Linked DNA regions of Caenorhabditis elegans. The protein of the gene in region 1 interacts with the protein of each later gene in a pairwise test. Each region holds a gene or a part of one and is shown on either strand. Other genes may lie near its edges.

Region 1 (3,237 bases):
CTAATTTAGAGTTGTTTCCTACAGTAATATCATTCCAAAATTACAATTTTATAAAATACAGTATTTATGATTTTTGATCGACCATTACATAAAGAATAACCTGTCATATTATTTTTATTGCCAAAATAATTATTACTCAAGTTTTTCTAATCTCGGGAATATTTATATAATTAGAAGCTAAATGTTGCCAAAAGCTTGACCTACCAAAATAGATTGCAAATCGAGTCCTCGCATTTTGAGAACTTCCAAAGTTTGATTGTAGATGTTAACTTGAATATAAGTTGACATTTTTCAGTAAATACCAACTTGTCGAGTTGCAAAGCAGGAATGAATCAATGACACAGCTGGGCAGACCACAAAGTAAGAGACTCGAAACGCAGACGGTTCTAAGCAGCGCCGACTCACTCCTTCTTTTGCATTATATCTTGTGTCTCACTCGTGCGTTCTTGCCCTGTGTGTTTTCGCTCTCTGCATTTTTCTCTCTATTTTGTAGTTTGCGTTGGACGCCGAAATGTAGTCATGTTGTAGACTACAACATATAAGTGGAGGAATATTTATCAGATTACCGGGATGGTAAAACAATTTCAGAGGGGAAGAGGATACGAATAAGTTAAAATAAAATGAGATAGATACTGCAATAATTAATCCTCACGAAGTGGCAGGAACTTTACGACGACTGGCTTTCCGGCTTCAGCGATGACCAAGTGAATTTTGTCTCCAGTAGAGATTTCACGCTCAGCAGCACCACGGAACGAATCCTAGAAAAAATAAATGAATTAGGTTAAAATTACGAAATTCAATTATACCTTCATCAATGAGATGGCTCTGTCCAATGTGAGTTCCGGACGCTCATATCCTTCAGAGAGCGTAACGTGCCCGATTTGACAATCCAAGAATGGAATGATCATTGGTTCAGCGGCTCCACTGGCTGAGTATCCAAGACGCTCGATACATCCGATTGGGTCGTAACTGAACACGGCCCCTTTTCCGTGCTCGTCAATTCCGGCAAGAATAGCTCCAGTGTAGTATGGGAAGAACCGACGGTAATAGAGGTTGCGGGAGAGAAGTTCTGCGCAAAGATCCACAGACATGTCAGAGCGATAATCGAAGCGGTACTTGTGGAGACGAGATTGGAGAACTTTCTTCAATTGGAGGACATCTCCATAGAATCCAGAGGTGGTGAGGATGATGTTATCATTCCTGAATTAAGAATTATTATTAAAACAAAGACAAATACTGGCTTACAAAATTTGAATCTTCTCTGCGTCACGTGTAAGAATGTTGATGTCGTTTTGGGTCATTCTAGTATCACTTGCCACGATGGCAAAGTTCTCCCCAGAAATGGCACAGGTTGATCCTCCCTCCATTGAATACGGGTTCCAGCGTTGACGCTCAATTTGTCTGGAACTCATCCACTCTGGATGAGCTGCAACTTCCTTCATTGCCTGCTTGAACATTGCCATTTCATTGGTGGCGTTGGCGACAGCCGTGATTCCAGTGAAGCTTGTCATCTGAAAAAGGCGTATACTTATTTAGTTGAAACAATATAAATATTCAATATGACAAAATTCAATTAATACAGAAAACAAATGCTCGAAATTTGAGAATTCAACATAACAGGAAATGCTGACAATGAGAGACATCGTCATTTACAATGTTTAGTCCGCAGTTTTCTGCGCGTTCAAATGCACATCGCACATCGAACTATACGACACTTTGCTGAAATTTATTGAAACGCGTTTTCCTCTCTTTTTTGAATGAAAATTCATTTTTCCAAGGTATTTTTGAGGACAATTCATCGCTTTATCTACATTTCTGATTAAAATTTTTGTGATTTCTTTTTTTCAATAATTGATATTTCAGATGGCAGATTTCACAGAGCAAACTTTGCGACAGAAGTTAACAAATTTATCAAACCACCCTTCCTCAATTCAGACGACTTCTGCCTGGCTTTTGCAAAATCATAGCAATCGGGAATTGATCATTCGAGTTTGGCTAAAGGTATTTTATTCATATTGTATCATTTTTTAGTGTTGTATTTCAGACAGTAAAGAAAGAAACACACGGCTCAAAAATTGTAAATCTTCTTTATGTGGCGAATGATGTAAGCCAAAATGCGAGAAAGACTTGCCCACAATTCAAGGACGAATTTTTTCCCGCAATAGAAAGTTCTTTCAGGTATTGGCATTTTCAAACGTCTAATCTCAAAATTAATTTCAGGCATGCAATCGAGTTGAAAAATGCAAAAGAAGTGGAACATGCAATTGGTAAACTGATCAATGTATGGAAAGATCGTCAGATATTCACTCCATCACAATGCAAACGGCTTCATGAAGTTCATCAACAAGTTAAGCTATCTGGAAGCTTCCCAACACCCGCAGTTGCGAACAAGGAACATGGAAAGGTGTGTGAATTTAATAAATTCCAAAAGAATGCCAAAATGAGCTTAAGGTCGCTCAACCTAGTCAGTTCGTCGTTGAAGAAGCGAAAAAGAATGCACAAGATGTTTTGCTCAGTTTGAAGCGCCTTCAAAACCCGCCGAGCACGGAAAGAGAAATTCGCACAGAACTTTCAAAATATCCGGATAATATTTCGTGCCCAGAAAAGTTGCAGTCAGTTCGAAGTTCGCAAGAAGCACAGTCTCTGTTGGTCCAAAATGAAGAAGCTCTTCCGATGCTGGAGGAATATGTTAAAAGGTTTGATTGAAACTTTTGTGAATTGATTTTGTACATTAACTTATGCTTTCAGGCTGAAAAACGAGACAAATGAACGCGAAACTCTCGAATCGAACTTGAATATGCTTATAGAAAATGTTAGAATGAGCATTGAACATCACGAGAAATTGTGCAGAGAAGTTAAGCGTAGAGAAGATCGAATCAAGGCAGATTTGTTAGAGGTTTGAAAACTAGAAAATCAGTTTTTGCAGACTTGAATTGAATTTCAGGTTGAAAAAACATTCGAATCGTTGCCAGATTTGGCTGCTGAGATGCCAAATGCACCATTGCCAACACTTGAAGCTTTGTTCGAGAAGAGGAAAAAATAAGTATCATACTACGTCATAATTATAACTTTACGATCTCAGTAGCTTTTACTGTACCCCCATTGTTGTATAATTTTTGTTCACTTTGATCTTTTACAATCGTGATCACCATTACCACATAAGTGCTTTATACGTTTTTCTTCTGAACCACCTTAAATGAATTTATTTTTTCTAAAATTCAAGTTAGTTCTATTATC
Region 2 (6,958 bases), 2.2 Mb from region 1:
TTATCAACAATAGTTCAAATTCCTATCACTAATCAAAAATCTTCTTCGGAGAGAAAAAGTGGATTTGGAGTTGTTGATTTGTTAGGAAGTTCTTGAAATTTTGCTTTTATTTATTCTATTGATCTCAATTCCTATAATTTTCTGTTTTTTTCTAATATTTCTGTGTATTAACGGGTGATAACCACTCAGAATTTCCAATGTTTCAAGCAATACATTTTTTAATGCAAAATTACGATTCTTTCTACAGGATCCACACAATTAAACGATTTCTTATTTGTTAAAATCCAGACACTACAGAGTCAACTACAGTAACCCAAAAGCTTCAGATTAAAGTTTTCAGTGCAGTTTTTATAATCGAAAGTTTAGCATCTTGCAATTTTTTTCTTGCAACGATTTTTTTTCGAAGTTTCCGTGAATCGACTGGCAAATTAAATCACACCCAAACTATTGCGCCACCTTTTCTCTGGAATTGAGAAAAAGACCGAAATTTCTGAAGATATAACGAAGAAGGGAGAAGTACATAACACACAACAATTAAAAAAAGTTCATCCGGTAGTAGAAAGAAGTGAAGCATTGGAAAATTATGGAAACTGTACGGGAAAAGGTGACTAGCACATAAATTGAAATAAATAAATATTTACAGTAAACATTTGAAGAATAACAACCAGAAAGCGAATAGAATCAAGCGATATTTGTCATTAGAATTCTTAGATAGATGGCCAGGTAGTTTGAGCTTAAAGTTTTGTAGCAAATGGAGATTTATTTATTATTTGACATCTTTTCTCTCGTAGAACAGAAGATATGCGCCTTGTTTGTCAACTTCTTCTTCAGATACTTCCTGAAATTTTTTCCACTAATTGATTATAATAAAAACCTTGAACTTACTCGAACCGAACAGTCATTCAACAGAAGCCATTTGTCCTCATTGCTCTTTGCATAGGCTATGAAATGTCCACAGGATAGTTGTCCATAGTGATTCTTAAAACATAAATTTTTGAAGAAATTTAAGTTTGTATAAGTTTCTTACAGCGAGTGCGATGCATTCATATGTATTTCCGTCGGGCTTGTCAACAAATGGAGCTGGATCGAAGTGCTTCAACGGGAAATTCACCGTTCTTTTGCACTTTCCCATTCGACCTTGTTCGCGGAGAAATTCGAACCGTTTGAGATGAATTATCTGAAATTTTAATAATTTTAAATAAAAATTGCGCCATAGCCACTCACCAAGTACTTCGGAAGCTTCCAAATAGTCATCACTTTGTCTCTCATCGTCTTCTTCTCACAACGGTCACATTGAATTGCTGCGTCAAGTGTCTCAGGGCATGAGAACTTCTCAATGCAGTGCTCCAATGAGCTTGGAGCAAAGTGCCTTGACCAAGTTTCGGCAACTGAAGGATCATCTTCACATGCTTGCTCCTGCGAGTGATTGTATCGAAGGTAGAGAGCGATTGGAAGCCAATCCACTGCAATCGGACAGTTGGCAGGAATGAATACTTTGCTCTCATCTGGACGGATTGGACATCCTCTGCAGAATCGGAGAGCCGGGCATTGCCCACACCATTCATAATTCGGATCAACCAAACATAAAGTGAATGGATATCCTGAATTCTCATCTTCACATGGATCATGAGCTCTACTCGAGGAGGAATTCACAGAGTGTTCCATAAATCGATGCATTTGATACATTACATCTTCGTATAATTTCTTTCCAGTTACTTCTTCGTCCAATCCAACGATCAAAGGAAGTCCAAAACGAGATACTATGAATCCGGCAGTTGAACCAAGAATGTAAGGTTCATGGTTATACTGAAGCTTCCTATGCATCGCAACTCGCCACTGATCTTCACCTGTACTTTCTGGTAGCTCTAAAGCGTAAAGTCTTGCTCCAGAAGGGAATGAACTCAGCGGCAGCTCATCGCGTAAGTTTGAACTTCGATGATTTGGGGATCGGCTCATAAGCGTTCCTTTACTGGACATACACTGAATCGTTAGATGTGACATCGAGATTCCACTTGATACGGCAACCACTTCCCGGAGATTTCCAACCTTCGAGTCACGTGACAATCGGAAACCATAGCGACGCGGGATTCGCCCGTCTCTATGTACAACTGAAATTTCCATATTTTGGTGAACCAAATTGTGTTATTCTTACCAATAACTTGATACAAATCAACATCTTCAAATCCAATTGGCAACGACAACGATGTGAATGGCTCGAAGACACTCGAGCTCGATTGACAAGTTCGGCAAATTAGGCGGGAACGGAGTTGGCCAGTGAAGAGCTGTGTAACGAGTGACTCATTTTGTTTTTCGTACTCCGTCCATGATCTTTCAGCTTTTTCTTCATCAGCTTCTTCTTTATCAGCTTCTTTCTTTTTGCTTGAATCCGACAATTTATTTGAATCGGTTCCTTCAGATTCTTCGGGAGATGGATGAAGACTTTTGTTAGATTCATACATTGAAGTGTGAAGCTGATCCAGCAAGAATGCTACAAATTCTTGACAATCATGCTGCTCACTACATTCAAACATATCCGAGCTCAATCGAATAGCATCCTATAAATTTGAATAATTCATTTTCAACTTATAATAACAAAACTCACATTAAAATCATTCGGAGCAATATTTTTCTTCTTCGCTGCCCACATTTCTCTGAGCAGTTTCGCATACTCAATTGTCGTCTCTGCCGCATCTCCTCGCCTCAAGTTCCCTCTTTTGATAGCATCCAAATTATCCTCATCCAAAAAATATTGAGTGAGTGGGGAAACTCTCGCAAGACACTGGATTCCGGCGTTACGGTAACAGAAGTTACCGTAGTTAACAAGACCAACTGCTCCTGGGCGACCTGAAGAATCTTATGGGAATTGATTGACAATGAGAGCTTTTTGATAATTGCGATTTTTTTGTTTTTTGAGAAAAAAAACATAAACTATTTATGTGCTTTTAATAAAGTCGAATAAAAGATTTACCTGACAATTGTGCATTCGAGGATAAAGTAGAAGCAGCAGTGATTTGTTTCCCGGAAAGAGATGCTCGTAATTCTTCTGGCCACACTCCTGTTCCTCTTTCTCGTACTTCCAGTAAAAGCTTCATTTTATTCACTTTTTTCGTTTTCCCTAGTGACGAGTATAATTGATGTAGATTTTGTGCTCCATCGTCCAAAAGTACATTTCCTTCTTCATTCTCCTTCACAACTTGCCAAAGCCTTGCGTCTCCATCTCCGAGTCGAAGTTCTGTCTTGCACAGCGCGAGAAGCTCATCCACAGTCATACTTCGTGATACTTGAGCACACGCCCAGGATGTCAAGGATCTTGGAGTGTTTTCTGTACCATCCTGGCTCTTCTTACGATCATGGCCCAGAAGGAGAATTTCGAGTGGATACAGTTCAAGAGCGGGCTTGTTGTCTTCAAAGAATTCACCATCCAGATACTTTCTTGTGAATTGTGAATCTACTGTCAGTGCACATCCGTGCCATCGGAGCCATGCTCTCCAAAGTGGAACAGGCACTCGGATGTAGTCAGATGGAATAAGATCGGGTTTCAGACGAGCTGATTCAGCTGAAATGCAAGCAACCTGAAAATTAATTAATTCTTTACTTTTCCGGACTAGAAAGTCAAACCTTGCTGGTCCAGCTATCTTCTCTTGTTCCCTTGATACCAGAATTATCGATTGGATTCGGATTTTTATCTGCTTCCAGGAAGGATCTGAGCTCAGCATGCCATCCTGAAGCTACAATGTTCCACTCGGAAAGTGGAAGCTCAGAGGCACGTTTTTCAAATTCGCTGAAATTCAAAGTTATTTAAACTGAGAATTGAAAGCTACACTAACTTCACAATTTGTAATTCCATTTTCCGTGACTCTGGTCTCAATCCGAGACAAATGTGTCCGATTTGAAGAGCCATAGAATAATATTCATTGACATATTTTTCGTTTTCCTGTGCCCATATTCCAAAATCAACGAGAGCAGATTTCCCATTCGATGATTTTGTGACAGTCTGATGTTCTTCTGGGACATTAAGATCTTTGTACATGTTAGAAAGTTCTTCGTCAGACAGAAGTTTGTCACAGTCGACGTCCCAGATTCGTGCCAACTCTAAAACAACTTTTTAGTTTCTCAAAATAATTTCTTAAAAACTCACGAGAAATTCTCCCTGGTAGAGGTCCACGACAAAGAGCCGAAAGTGTACAAACGAGCTCTCTGAAGTCAATTTGACCATCTCGATTCTCATCGAAAACAGCGAATAATCTCTCAGCATAACTATCCGGGAAGCATCCACCCAATGCTTGTTTCCACTTCTCTTCATTCAGTTTGCAGACAGCTCGATCACTGATCGTGGCGAACACTTTCTCTAACTCGATAACCTCGTTCACGGATACTGAAAAATGGTTTTTGAAATACGGAAATCAAGATAATTTAAATCTTACAATGCGTCACATAAGACATCACTTCGTAAAATGAGATATAGGAATCATTGAGCGGAATCGTAAGCTTAGGAGGACTCAATCCCCATGACGCGAACTCGTGATATTCTTCGATAAACCCTGAAAATAAATAATTTAATATTATTTCTGAAATGTTTCTTGACTGACTCGATTGTACTTCTTCTACTCTACACAATCCAACAAGAGATGAAAGCAAATTGTCAAAGGAAATGGTTTCAGCGCCATGAGAGAAGAAGCTGAACAGCAGGCGTCGTTTTTCTTCTGGTATCTGCGCGCCTCCGAGAACATGATAGCAGAATTCCTTAAATGGTGAAGTTAAAAAAATAATTAAAAACAGTTACGTCATAATTAATGCATCCATTTTTGAAGCGTTGGAAAGCTTGGCGAATTCGTCGATACTCCTCGTCCGATACTAAAAATTTGAGTTTATGTTTGTTTTGTAACATCCCTGAAACTCACTATAAGTTTTAGCATCTTCCGCACTGATAATCGGTGCGATAGCGTTCGAACGTCCAGTTAACGTGTTACCCATTTCGGATTATGGCATTTGAGCATCTGAACCAGATTTTCTTGCCGAATCTGAAAGAAAAAATGTAAAAATCAATTTATTTGAAAAGAAAAGCATTTGTAAAAGTTTTTCAGTGGAGACCGACTTTAGAACGATTATGGAAAACAGTTTATTCCAATAAACCCCACGAAAAAACACGAATTGCGGGAAAAAATAAAAGACTTGTCGAGAACTGTCAAAAACCCTCGCGCAGTGAGACAGTGTGTGAACTTAAGAGACGCAGGGTGTATAATGCAAACTCGCTCTGTTGCGATTTCAGAATCACTTCGAAAAAATTTTTGCATTCGAAATCATTTCGCTCATTTTTTCATCTCGAGTTTGGTTGTAGAAGTTGTTCTCCCATTTTTTGTGTTATTCTTGCACATTTTCAGTCATAAATATGTACCTGTAACCTGATCAATCAATCAATGTCCGTCTAGTCGCATTAGCGTGCAATTTGAGTGTAGAGTAATTCCGATTTGGAAATCCTAAAGTACATTTTCAAGTAAATGCTATCTTTTTGGTTGTATGAAAACTTGTGACAGCTCTTAGCAGAATGTTCATGACAACCGCCTTTCATTCACTGCAAATTATTACTTGCTCATCGCTTCATCTATAACCGTCTCATCAATTGCAAGTTTCAGCTAAATGTTCGGCCAGAACAAATCATTCGGCTCATCGAGTTTTGGCGGTGGCAGCTCTGGGAGCGGTCTATTTGGACAAAACAACCAGAACAATCAAAACAAAGGATTGTTTGGTCAGCCAGCCAATAACAGTGGAACTACTGGCCTTTTCGGGGCGGCACAGAACAAGCCGGCAGGATCAATCTTCGGAGCGGCCAGCAACACTTCCAGCATATTCGGTATTTTGATCAATAATTGTATGCGTTTGATTTATTTTAATATTTTAGGAAGTCCGCAGCAGCCTCAGAACAACCAGAGTTCATTGTTCGGTGGAGGGCAGAACAATGCCAACAGAAGTATCTTTGGGTCAACTTCTTCAGCAGCTCCCGCAAGCAGTTCCCTATTCGGTAACAACGCTAACAATACTGGAACCAGCAGCATTTTTGGTTCCAATAATAATGCACCATCTGGTGGAGGTCTCTTTGGAGGTAAACAATTGATTTTCGATAAATAAATTAATCTTGTATCAGCTTCAGCATCGACCGTATCTGGAACCACTGTTAAGTTTGAGCCACCGATCAGTTCTGATACTATGATGAGAAATGGGACAACTCAGACAATTTCCACGAAGCACATGTGCATTTCTGCAATGTCGAAGTACGATGGAAAGAGTATTGAAGAGCTCCGAGTGGAGGATTACATTGCAAATAGAAAGGCTCCCGGAACAGGAACGACTTCCACTGGCGGTGGGCTTTTTGGAGCATCCAACACAACAAACCAAGCTGGAAGCAGTGGGCTTTTTGGATCAAGTAATGCTCAACAGAAGACTTCTCTGTTCGGGGGAGCTTCGACGTCATCTCCATTTGGTGGGAACACGAGCACAGCAAACACTGGAAGTTCATTGTTCGGTAACAACAACGCCAACACGTCTGCTGCAAGTGGATCTCTTTTCGGAGCTAAACCAGCGGGCTCGTCACTGTTCGGATCTACAGGTAAGAATAAATCTAGCATCAACACAATTTTTAACCTTAAACTTAGCTACAACAGGAGCTTCAACATTCGGTCAGACAACTGGATCGTCTCTTTTCGGCAATCAACAACCACAGACGAATACTGGTGGATCGTTGTTCGGGAATACACAGAATCAAAATCAATCTGGGTCCCTGTTCGGCAACACGGGGACGACTGGTACCGGACTCTTCGGCCAAGCTCAGCAACAACCACAGCAACAATCGAGTGGATTCAGTTTCGGAGGTGCCCCAGCGGTGAGTTAAGATATCCTAGAATTTCAATATTTTATTAATTTTCAGGCGACAAATGCTTTCGGTCAGCCGGCTGCTGCAAAC

Evidence for each region.
Region 2: the proteins of pbs-6 (region 1) and cyk-3 interact in a two-hybrid assay, tested with the Caenorhabditis elegans proteins (one large-scale study listed by BioGRID).

Annotation. Positions count from the first base shown.
Region 1 is NC_003281.10:8,242,582-8,245,818, forward strand, and holds pbs-6 (Proteasome subunit beta type-1), read right to left. Parts: upstream 1,512-3,237; coding exon 1,246-1,511; intron 1,201-1,245; coding exon 807-1,200; intron 759-806; coding exon 642-758; 3' UTR 541-641; downstream 1-540. Other genes in the region: Putative zinc finger protein C02F5.12, read right to left, coding at 205-288; cids-1 (CID domain-containing protein 1), read left to right, coding at 1,864-2,001, 2,045-2,178, 2,221-2,404, 2,452-2,696, 2,749-2,896, 2,945-3,043. UniProt on the Caenorhabditis elegans protein: Non-catalytic component of the proteasome, a multicatalytic proteinase complex which is characterized by its ability to cleave peptides with Arg, Phe, Tyr, Leu, and Glu adjacent to the leaving group at neutral or slightly basic pH.
Region 2 is NC_003281.10:6,018,228-6,025,185, reverse strand, and holds cyk-3 (Ubiquitin carboxyl-terminal hydrolase cyk-3), read right to left. Parts: upstream 5,028-6,958; 5' UTR 4,975-5,027; coding exon 4,902-4,974; intron 4,855-4,901; coding exon 4,784-4,854; intron 4,744-4,783; coding exon 4,590-4,743; intron 4,542-4,589; coding exon 4,425-4,541; intron 4,376-4,424; coding exon 4,139-4,375; intron 4,093-4,138; coding exon 3,828-4,092; intron 3,782-3,827; coding exon 3,619-3,781; intron 3,573-3,618; coding exon 2,969-3,572; intron 2,854-2,968; coding exon 2,603-2,853; intron 2,556-2,602; coding exon 2,153-2,555; intron 2,109-2,152; coding exon 1,225-2,108; intron 1,178-1,224; coding exon 1,028-1,177; intron 979-1,027; coding exon 886-978; intron 839-885; coding exon 767-838; 3' UTR 527-766; downstream 1-526. Other genes in the region: tbx-7 (Putative T-box protein 7), read left to right, coding at 1-96; npp-10 (Nuclear pore complex protein Nup98), read left to right, coding at 5,638-5,851, 5,900-6,100, 6,149-6,604, 6,651-6,877, 6,923-6,958. UniProt on the Caenorhabditis elegans protein: Ubiquitin-protein hydrolase which cleaves ubiquitin from ubiquitinated proteins. Plays a role in embryo osmoregulation.